Linked DNA regions of Sus scrofa. The protein of the gene in region 1 interacts with the protein of each later gene in a biochemical or structural test. Links are inferred from orthologs where the notes say so. Each region holds a gene or a part of one and is shown on either strand. Other genes may lie near its edges.

The links.
Region 2: the proteins of PRKAA1 (region 1) and CFTR form a complex in vitro, tested with the Homo sapiens proteins (2 studies listed by BioGRID, with this or other methods). The link is inferred for Sus scrofa from reciprocal best matches to the Homo sapiens genes PRKAA1 and CFTR.
Region 3: of the proteins of PRKAA1 (region 1) and RACK1, one has a biochemical effect on the other in vitro, tested with the Homo sapiens proteins (2 studies listed by BioGRID). The link is inferred for Sus scrofa from reciprocal best matches to the Homo sapiens genes PRKAA1 and RACK1.

The regions. Positions count from the first base shown.
Region 1 is NC_010458.4:25,749,930-25,752,495, reverse strand, and holds part of PRKAA1 (5'-AMP-activated protein kinase catalytic subunit alpha-1), read left to right. Parts: intron 1-545; coding exon 546-1,032; intron 1,033-1,143; coding exon 1,144-1,270; intron 1,271-2,566. UniProt on the Homo sapiens protein: Catalytic subunit of AMP-activated protein kinase (AMPK), an energy sensor protein kinase that plays a key role in regulating cellular energy metabolism.
Region 2 is NC_010460.4:28,759,065-28,762,718, reverse strand, and holds part of CFTR (cystic fibrosis transmembrane conductance regulator), read left to right. Parts: intron 1-1,139; coding exon 1,140-1,229; intron 1,230-2,119; coding exon 2,120-2,283; intron 2,284-3,654. UniProt on the Homo sapiens protein: Epithelial ion channel that plays an important role in the regulation of epithelial ion and water transport and fluid homeostasis. Mediates the transport of chloride ions across the cell membrane.
Region 3 is NC_010444.4:57,278,587-57,283,003, forward strand, and holds the start of RACK1 (receptor of activated protein C kinase 1), read left to right. Parts: upstream 1-1,605; 5' UTR 1,606-1,692; coding exon 1,693-1,801; intron 1,802-2,718; coding exon 2,719-2,890; intron 2,891-3,408; coding exon 3,409-3,556; intron 3,557-3,789; coding exon 3,790-3,885; intron 3,886-4,417. UniProt on the Homo sapiens protein: Scaffolding protein involved in the recruitment, assembly and/or regulation of a variety of signaling molecules. Interacts with a wide variety of proteins and plays a role in many cellular processes.

The DNA.
Region 1 (2,566 bases):
CTGGTGTAGGCTGGCGGCTACAGCTCTGATTAGACCCCCTAGCCTGGGACCCTCCATATGCCCCTAGAAAAGACAAAAAAAAAAAAAAAGAGTTAAAAAAAAAAGAGGTGAGATGATGTTATGAAGTGTTGAAGTGCACATACCAAGCACTCAATGAATAATAGTTGTCTTTTTTTGTTATGTATTTTTTTCACTTAATATCTTAATATTACATTCAAAGAGTATTATAAAGAAGCTGGATGTAAGATGATCTTTGCCATTTGTTTATCATTACCATCTGTTCCAAAACTTTAAATAAAAGTGTAGACACTTTTTTGGTTGCTACAGCAGTGTTTTCTCCCTTTTAAAATCAGAGGAAGGCTGGAGCATTTCTCCCAATATATACAATGAAATGTGATCCTGAAGAGGAAAATCTCAGTTTTAAAAAGTGATAATACAGTATGAGTATAACTATAAATGAATTCATATCCTAAATCCTCAAATTGTGGCTTTTAGTCTCATCTCTCCTCAAAATCCTTCTCGTGACCTCTGACATTTTCTCTCAGGGAACATGAATGGTTTAAACAGGACCTTCCAAAATATCTCTTTCCTGAGGATCCATCGTATAGTTCAACCATGATTGATGATGAAGCCTTAAAAGAAGTATGTGAAAAATTTGAATGCTCAGAAGAGGAGGTTCTCAGCTGCCTTTATAACAGAAATCACCAGGACCCTTTGGCAGTTGCCTACCACCTTATAATAGATAACAGGAGAATAATGAATGAGGCCAAAGATTTTTACTTGGCAACAAGCCCACCTGATTCTTTTCTTGATGATCACCATTTGACTCGGCCCCATCCTGAAAGAGTACCGTTTTTGGTTGCTGAAACTCCAAGGGCACGCCATACCCTTGATGAATTAAATCCACAAAAATCCAAACACCAAGGTGTAAGGAAAGCAAAATGGCATTTGGGAATTAGAAGTCAAAGTCGACCCAATGATATCATGGCAGAAGTTTGTAGAGCAATTAAACAACTGGATTATGAGTGGAAGGTAAGAACGAGCATTCTGCTGTTGTTAGCACATTTAGTCAAACCTTTAGTCTGTGAGATGCTTTATAGAAAAATTGCTTTTGACTTTGTTTTTGTCCATGCCATATGCTAGGTTGTAAATCCATATTATTTGCGTGTTCGAAGGAAGAATCCTGTGACAAGTACATACTCCAAAATGAGTCTACAATTATACCAAGTGGATAGTAGGACGTACTTATTGGATTTCCGTAGTATTGATGGTATGTACATCACACAAAACAACGTAGATGACATAAGAGACCTTGTTACCTAATTTGGCGTTTTAGTAAATCTTTGATTCTTTTGAAGCTTGTTGAGTTGTTCCTTGTAATTTAATAGCAAAAGAACATAAAATGTGAGATTTTGTGCCTTTGTCATGTCAGCATTTGTGAGTCTTGTGAATAGTGTACTGTACTTTTAATATTATCTTCTTATAAAATCCTTAAAGCTTGATACAGCCTAATCCTAAAGTGATAGTTCCTGCTGCATTTCCTGGAACTGAAGCACTCTGTGTCCCAGATAGCCATTGTAATTAGCTAAAGGCAACATTGTTAACCTTAAACATTAAACATTTTAGGTACATGTCTATTTACGTGCAGTCGTAAATAGTCATAGATAACCTGATTCAAATCACTATTTCAAATCACTGAAATAGTAAAAATTTTTAAAGTTAGGTATTTTAATTGGTTGTCAAAATAATGACCCTTCTCTACTATGAGAATTTAAAATATGTCTGTGAGTTTTATTAAAGAAACATTATATTGTTTTACAGTTTTAATAGTTTAAAAATGAAAAATCTGTACTTAGAAAATACATCTCTGATTACCATTATTTGTAGTTTGCCAGAATATCTTCTTCTCAACTAGATTGGTTGAGGTAAATAATTGCAGAAAGCTGAAAGGGATTTTTTGTTGTTATTTTTATGTTAAGTGGGACAAATATCTTATATACCAAGGTATATATGAATAAACTATAACAGACCTCTAATAAATGGTGCAAGATCATACCACAGTTTGAAATTTATATTAATTCACATTTCCCATGCAAAACACTCTAAAACCTAATTTACCTTATTTATTAAAAAGCCTGATGGAACAACTTGACTTGTAATTCAAGTAAATACGTACTTATTCTTTTTCTCTACTTCAGCATTATAAAGAGGTATAGCTGTATATACATAAATGGTCTCCCACAGAGCCTTTAATTAAGTAGAAGTTTATGGCAGTTCTTCACTGGCCATATCAATTGAATTAAGATATGTTGCCACTTTTGTTCATTTAAGATTATATGGGATTATTAGATGAGATTCAGTTATGAGTTTTTTGTCTTCTTTTTAAACTCAAAGATAGTACCTATGTAGTTATCAGGCACAGATTTGAAGAATGATATGTTGGCCGACCTGTTTGTTTGCTTACCTTTATGTTCATATGGTGTTTTTCTGCTAACACATACTAATGCAATCTGAGATAAAGAATGGGTTTTATTTTGTTTTTGGCTGCACCTGCAGCAGGTGGAAG
Region 2 (3,654 bases), on another chromosome or scaffold:
AATAGTGATTTTCGTCTCCTAAGTGTTCAATACTGAGAGATTCAGTTGAAGCAAATACTAAATGGGCACTTTCCAATCAAAGCCATCTAATGGCAAATCAATTCTTATTAGATTTTACAGGCAAAGTATGACTGTGCTCTTTCATTATCATAATTAATTTATCTACTTAATGATTAATTCTGTGTATATGGATATATTTTTCTTTGCAAAATTTAAGAATTTTTTTATTGTTAAAGTAATTTTTCACAAAATTATTAATGAATCAATTATTTATATTTTATTGACTTGAACAGTAATTTTATTCAACAGTTTCTATAAGACTGCATGAAAAATTTAGGACCAAGATTTTCTTTTTTTTTTTTTTGTCTTTTCTAGCGCCTCACCCACGGCATATGGAGGTTCCCAGGCTAGGGGTCTAATCAGAGTTGTTGCTGCCAGCCTATGCCAGAGCCACAGCAACATAGGATCTGAGCCGCTTCTGCAACCTACACCGTAGCTCACAGCAATGCCAGATCCTTTACCCACTGAATGAGGCCAGGGATTGAACCCACAAGCCCATGGTTCCTAGTCCAATTCATTAACCACTGAGCTACGATGGGAACTCCAGGAACAAGGTTTTATTAAAAGATTTTTTTTTTTTTTTAATTGAAGCAGTTGTTTCATAAGATTGTGTTAGTTTCAGGAATACAGCAAAGTGATTGAATATATGCATATATATTATTTTTTTCTATTTTTTTTCATTGTAGGTTATCAGAAGTTCCCTGTAAGGCCAAGATTTTAATCTCAAGTTTCACTGCCTTTGATTCCATCTTTTATTAAAAACAAACAAACAAACAAAAAAAACTTTCACAGTATATAATTGGGTGTTTGAGTATAATTTTATTCCCATTTTGGAGTATGAAAAAATAATTACTACTTTCAGGATACTGTAACATAAAATAAGTAAAGCCATGCCAGTGTAATATTCATTGTAAAGAGAAATATTTATAAATTTGAGAAGATACTAAGCTAGGTGAACATAAAACAATTTTCATTACCTTTACATAAAAATTCATGCAGAGTCACCTAATATATCATTACTTCTAAATATACTTGTCTACTGTTCATTGACATCTTCTAACTTCCTATTTTCCTTTTAGACTTTGAAGCTGTCAAGCCGTGTTCTAGATAAAATAAGTATTGGACAACTTGTTAGTCTCCTTTCCAACAACCTGAACAAGTTTGATGAAGTATGTACCTACTGATTTAATCTTTTATGCATCTTTGTTATAAATCATGCAACCTCAAAGATTTTCCTGGGTCAGATAACAGTAATTAAGTAGTTGGGTCATAAGCATCCCCACCTTCCCTGTTTTTGAAAACTGAGAAGGCTAAATTCTGTAGCAGAGTGCCATTCTGGGGTCTCACAGACCCACCCAGTTCAAGGGCACCTCAGCTGGCTTTGTATTTAGTGCGGTTTTCAAAATTCAATCCTTATCAGATCTTACTTCCTTTTAATGCTTTAAATTAATTATTTACTTTGGCTGAGGAAGATACTCTGAGTAACTCTTGTTCAGCGCTGCCTTTTGTCGCAATAAAATACAAGATCTTTGAAGACAGATTCTGTGTTTTATTTATCGTCACATTTCCAGGATTTAATGCAATATTGAACCCTTCAGCAGGTGTTAAGTAAATTACTGTTGAATGGCGCATGCGTGTGCGAATATACTGTCTGATGACAAGAGTTGTGCCATTGTGTGGACTGAACTCCTGGAGAGTTTTTGTTCTCTCATGTTCTGTGTCATGGCTCTTAACTTTATCCAAATAGAAGTAAACTATTTAAAATAAATTCTTGACATGATACTTCAGATAGCCATTCACCACACAGTTCCTCTGAAAAAAAATCACGGCAACTTGAATTTTGTTTTTTGGGGAACTCGTAGCCCCTGCGTGGAATGTTTCAGCACATTGCTGTGTGCTCCAGTCATGAATAGCCACATTTTAGTGCATTCAGAACCATGAAGTGCTTGTTTGTGTGACCTCGCTGTGCTTGATTTCTTTCTTGGAGGCTTGTTTTGGGCTTTGTGTTGGGAGTGGAGGATGAATTGACGGTGCATTTCACCGTGACTTTATTTTTCAGGGACTTGCCTTGGCGCACTTCGTGTGGATCGCTCCTCTGCAAGTGACGCTGCTGATGGGGCTGCTGTGGGAGTTGTTGCAGGCCTCCGCCTTCTGTGGACTTGCCTTCCTCGTAGTCCTCGCCCTCTTTCAAGCTGGGTTGGGGAAAATGATGATGAAGTACAGGTAGCACTCTGTTTACTTAGCTTGAAAGGGTTTAGACATTCCGTTTTCCCAAAGCCCACTTTAGTAAAACCAGAACTGCTCTATGTACTGAACTGTCATCTACTTCTTGGGTGCCACAAAAAAGGAATTATTTTCATGATGTAAATAGTATTTCCTTTTTTTTTTTTTTTTTTGTCTTTTTGTCTTTTCTAGGGCTGCACCCATGGCATATGGAGAATTCCCAGGCTAGGGGTCGAATCGGAGTTGTAGCTGCTGACCTACGCCAGAGCCATGGCAATGCAGGATTCGAGCCGCGTCTGTGACCTACACCACAGCTCACAGCAATGCCAGATCCTTAACCCACTAAGTGAGGCCAGGGATCAAACCTGCAACCTCATGGTTCCTTGTCGGATGCGTTAACCACTGAGCCACAACGGGAACTCCCCCTTAAATAGTATTTCTGTGTCGTATCGGTGGGACATTTTCTTTTCTTATCGGTCTGTAGAATTTCTTTATGAATACGTTACTATCCAGTTCCCTTTTTTTTCACATCAAAGATTTAGGTACAATGGAGTTCCCATTGTGGCACCGTGGTTAACGAATCCAACTAGGAACCATGAGGTTGTGGGTTCGATCCCTGGCCTTGCTCAGTGGGTTAAGGAACTGGTGTTGCCGTGAGCTGTGGTGTAGGTTGCAGACATGACTCAGATCCTGTGTTGCTGTGGCTCTGGTGAAGGCCGGTGGCTACAGCTCCAATTAGACCCCTAGCCTGGGAACCTCCATATGCCGAGGGAGTGGCTCAAGAAAAGGCAAAAAGACATTAAAAAAAAAAAAAAAAAAAGGCTTAGGTACAATGGATAAAACACTTAAGTGAATGGAAGGGAACGCATATATTTTGGGTAGAGTTTATAGACTGTTTCTATACTCTGGCTCCGGAGTCATCACAGCAGAACCTTAGTTGCTTTTTGTTACAAAATGAATCAGTAATACTAATTACTGCCTGTGAAAGAGGACTTCTACAGTTTGCCAGATTGAGTAAGATAGAAAGTGTATAGATTTTGGAATCAGATGGTTCAAAGCTTGAATCCCAATTGCACGCTTTCTAGTTAGATGACCTGTGTCAAGCTACTTCAGCCACTGTTTCTGGGTTTTTTTTTTCTGTCTTTAAAATGGAGGTAATTATCTCCTTTAGCTGTAGGAAGGATTAGGCCTAGTGTGTGAAATGCATCTCATGCAGTGCCTGGCATGTAGGAGGCATTTATTAAATGACACTTACAATTTTTGTTACTATTTATTTGATATCCATCTGTTTCATAGAAGAAAGGAGGCTTGTCTTAAAAGCTTGGGCCTTTCTTAGTGGACAGTTTGGCTGGTTTGTACTAAGTTGTTTAA
Region 3 (4,417 bases), on another chromosome or scaffold:
GCACAAAGCTGGGAGTCTGGGAGGATAGTTGTCAGGCTGTGGAGGAGCTTAACAAAGACTGCACCCTTCCGAGCCCGAACGTGGCTGCAGAGGAAAGCAGGGGTCTGCAGGGGCAGCAGGAGAGTAGCTGCTCTCAAGCGAGGAAATTCCGGCCCTCTTTGCACACCTGAGCGGCCACAGCCAACAGCAGCTTCGCCATTACCCCTGCCTTCCTTCTCAAAGGCAGGCTTTCTGGTTGGGGTTTCCGCGGTCCTTCCCCCAGCCTGCAAGGCCCTCTGTCAGCTCCCCCGCCCCACCTCCATCTCATTATTCCGACCCTCCGTCCTAAGCGCTTCCAACGCTCCAGCTCAGGACTTTTATCACTGACCCTTCCCTCCGACTTTCTCTATATGTAACCATTGACTGGGACATTACATCATCATAAATCCACGGGGTTCTCTCCCAGATCTTCCTGTCTTTGTTAAAGTCTCCCCTTCAAGCTCTCTTCTCTCCAGCGCATTGACTGTAAACTTAAAAACAAACTAAACCTGGTCCCTTTCTTCCTCTTCAGAGATATATCCCCAAGATCTAAAATAAAGAGTCTGGTACTCAAATGTTAAGTTGGGCGCATTCACTCTGCCAGCCACTTTTTTGGGCATTTTACCTGTCTTAACTCATTTACTCTCCACAATACCTTAGGAGGTAGGTACTATTACTCCCAAACTCGTTTGACTGATAAGAAATTAAGTTAATACAAGTTACAAACAGGAAATACTTGGGCACGCCTAGGACCACCGCCCCCCCCCCCCGCCCCAGACCCACGGCCCTTCCATGAGGTGGCTTGGCCAGGAGCTGGTTTTGACCCGAGCCCACATTAAGTCAGAACCCACAGGTCCTTCCTCTTAGGACCGCTCAGTTTCCGCGAGAGCTCTCCGCGCTCTTGCCGAGGCAGGAGTGGGGTGACTGCCCAGCAGCCCACATAAGGATTTTTCCTTCATCCTCGGTTTTCCGCTCCATAACCCATTTCTGCCTTAGTCCTGGCTGAACTCAGTCTTTCTGGGCATGGAGTTCCTCAGCCAAAAACATCAGAGCATAAACCTCTCCAGAGAAGAGTCGTCCCCCGCGCATGTATATCTGTTAGAGTTTAATAGTTCACCTTAGCACAGTTTATTTTTAAAACTTAACACCGGATTTTTTACATTGCCCACCGTTACTCACAGTTGCGGCCTCGATATTAAACGCCCTCTGTGTTGCTCTCAGAGCCACGAAGCGGAAGGGGCGGGGTTCGCGCGGTGCGACCTACGGGAAGCGAAGGCGCTAGGCTATCCTTACGGGAATGGGGCGAGCACTTCCCGTCTTCCGCTTTTTAGACATCATTCCCTAATCAACCTTTGAGGAGCCTTTTAAAATACTCTGGCGTGTCGGTTTTGGAATTCATTTTTACAGTGCTGCCAAATTAGGTCGCGCGGAGCAGGGAACCATCAGGTCTTATTTTGCTTCCTCCCGGGCACTATGTAGTGCCGCCATCTTGAGCAGGAGTGCATTGTGGGAGGGCACCATTTTTCCGGAGAGGGAGGGTATTTCCGGTTCCGGCATGCCACTGCTCGGTCTTTTCCTCAGCCGGGCCTCGGCGTGAGAGGCCGTGCAGGTCGTCTCTCTGAGCTATCCGGTACCATCCTCGTCGCTCCGGCGACATCTGCATCTGCTGCCGCCATGACTGAACAGATGACTCTCCGTGGCACCCTCAAGGGCCATAACGGCTGGGTGACCCAGATTGCTACCACTCCCCAGTTCCCGGACATGATACTGTCCGCTTCTCGAGGTACGGACTGAGGTGCGGTGTAGAGGATACGGGAGTAGGGGATTGCGCACGTTGTATGGCTGGGCCAGTAGACCGCCAAGTAGCGGCCCTGAAAATTCGGTTAGGGTGTGAGCTGACCCGTGCGTAAGGCCTCAGCGTGGTTAAACCCTTGAGGCGTCCCCACTTTGCAGACTGCGAAACATAGACCACCCAGTAGCTGCCAGGAGGGGGTTGGGGACTTCTTTTAAATCTCTGGCCGACTTATCTAAGTGGATGTGTGCCCAGGAGCCTCGGGGCCGGACGGGGCGGTGATGATTCCAACATGCCATCTGAGTGCCCATGCTGAAACCCAGAGGCTGTTTCTGAGCTGCCGCCCGGCCCTCTACTCGGTTGGAAGTGGAGTGATTGCAATGTCAACGTGTGCCGATTTTGCCCTCGGTTTTTCCTCATTCTCTTTGTATATGACTGCGTTTGGGGTTTTAATCAGAAAGTTTGTTGAGTAGAACGCATTGAAGTGAAAGAACCCAGTCCTGTAGAGCCTAAAGTGACTTCTAATTTCAGAACTTCTGGAGGCCCCAGCAGTAGTCTCTGGAGGCTCACAGCTAGTTTTCTCTCACCTAGAGTGCTGTACCCATCCATTAGAACTCAGAAAAAAACTTGAAATAGACGTTGAGTTGGTGCGAATATCTGTAAAAGGCATCCATAATCTGGAAAAGTTCCAAACACCTGAGTTAAATTCTCATAGCTTTTTCACTCTTGACCATTTGGCCCTGACTGGGAACTGCTTTCATAACCTGTAGTTCCCCTACCCCTTTAATGTACTTAACTTGTGAGCCCGTCAATCACCTTGAGGTATCCTGGATTATCTAGTAGGTCAGAAGATGGGCTGCGGGATTTCTCAGTGGCTTTCCTCTGTTTTTTTTTTTACCTCCTCTTAGACAAGACCATCATCATGTGGAAGCTGACCAGAGATGAGACCAATTATGGAATCCCACAGCGTGCTCTTCGGGGTCACTCCCACTTTGTTAGTGACGTGGTCATCTCCTCAGATGGCCAGTTTGCCCTCTCGGGCTCCTGGGATGGAACCCTTCGCCTCTGGGATCTCACAACGCAAGTACCTGTTTGGGGGCATTGGGGGAAAGCTGGGTAGAAATGAGGTAGATACTTTCTGGAAGTAGTTTCCCAGGAGAGATCAGGTTCACTGTGTAAGAGAATATCTGGAAAAGAGTTCTGGTTGTTTGGCCTGCCTCCTTATTTGTTATTATGCAAAATTTCTGTGAAGTGGTTTGGTTGAGCAGTTTTTTCAGGTACTGCACTAGGGAGTGGGCAACAGTTTGAACCTGTTGTATATTGGGAGCTCAGTCTTTGGTTGGTCAGGCATAATGGAGGATCCTGGTGATGACCAATGACATTGTCAGCCAATCCCCACATGGGAATGAGGACATGTCCTGCAATTCTGAAGGGATTCTCTTGCATATTCCAGCCAAGGGCCTGCTGTTACCAAACCATGTCCAGGGTTGTGTGAGTAGTGCAGCTCCATTGGGACAGGAACCAGCCTAGGGAAACAGTTATGACTGGGAGAATATTTGCAAAGTCCATCCATAGTGTAACCAAGTCCTCCCTCTCAGGGGCACCACCACGCGCCGATTTGTAGGCCATACTAAGGATGTGCTGAGTGTGGCCTTCTCCTCTGACAACCGACAAATTGTCTCTGGCTCCCGAGATAAAACCATCAAGCTATGGAATACTCTGGGTGTGTGCAAATACACTGTCCAGGTAAAGTGAGGGCACACGCAGGGAACACATGTTGAACATTTTCTCCCATCCTTTTGGCTTTATGTGGTGATTTCAAGCCTCTTTGGGGATCTAAAGCAATTCTGTCAATCTTGATTGAGGGTTTGGGTTCTGGGGGTGTGAACACAAGGCTATCAAAATATATCCCTGTAACTGAGGGAAGGGTTGGTGATCTAGAGTTGCTTAGTATCTTATTTTCCTTCCATCCTTTGCAGGATGAGAGCCACTCAGAGTGGGTGTCTTGTGTCCGCTTCTCACCCAACAGCAGCAATCCCATTATTGTTTCCTGTGGCTGGGACAAGCTGGTCAAGGTGAGCTTGGAGCCAGGGTGTAGGGCCTTTATACCAACCCCCACTGCCTCCCAATTAGTTGGTCATAGCTCCAGCTTTGAAAGCTGTGTCCCTCAATTGACCTTTATCCTCTTGATATTTTCTCAGTATAGGTCATTACTTTTTTATATATATTCTGAAGTAGCTAATTGGTAAATTAGTGTCCCTTGGTGGCAACACAAATCATTTATTTCTGGGGCGGGGGGAAATGTTTATTTTTTGGCCATGGAAGTTCTGGGGCCAGGAATCCATGCCACAGTAGCAACTTGAGCCACGTCAGTGCCAGTGCCATTGCCAGATCCTTAACCCACTGCGCCACCAGGAAAACTCCCAATTCCAATTTCCAGTTTTAATCTTACTATTCTTAAGTGCTCAGGACAAATTCTTTGACCTTTTTTGTTACTTATAGAATTGAAATTGGCTTCCCTGTTCAGGAATGCTTTTAAACATTGTGCTATGCCTTTTATTTGGCCTGAGCCCTCTTGGCAGATCCAGGGCCAGGTTTTTCACCTGT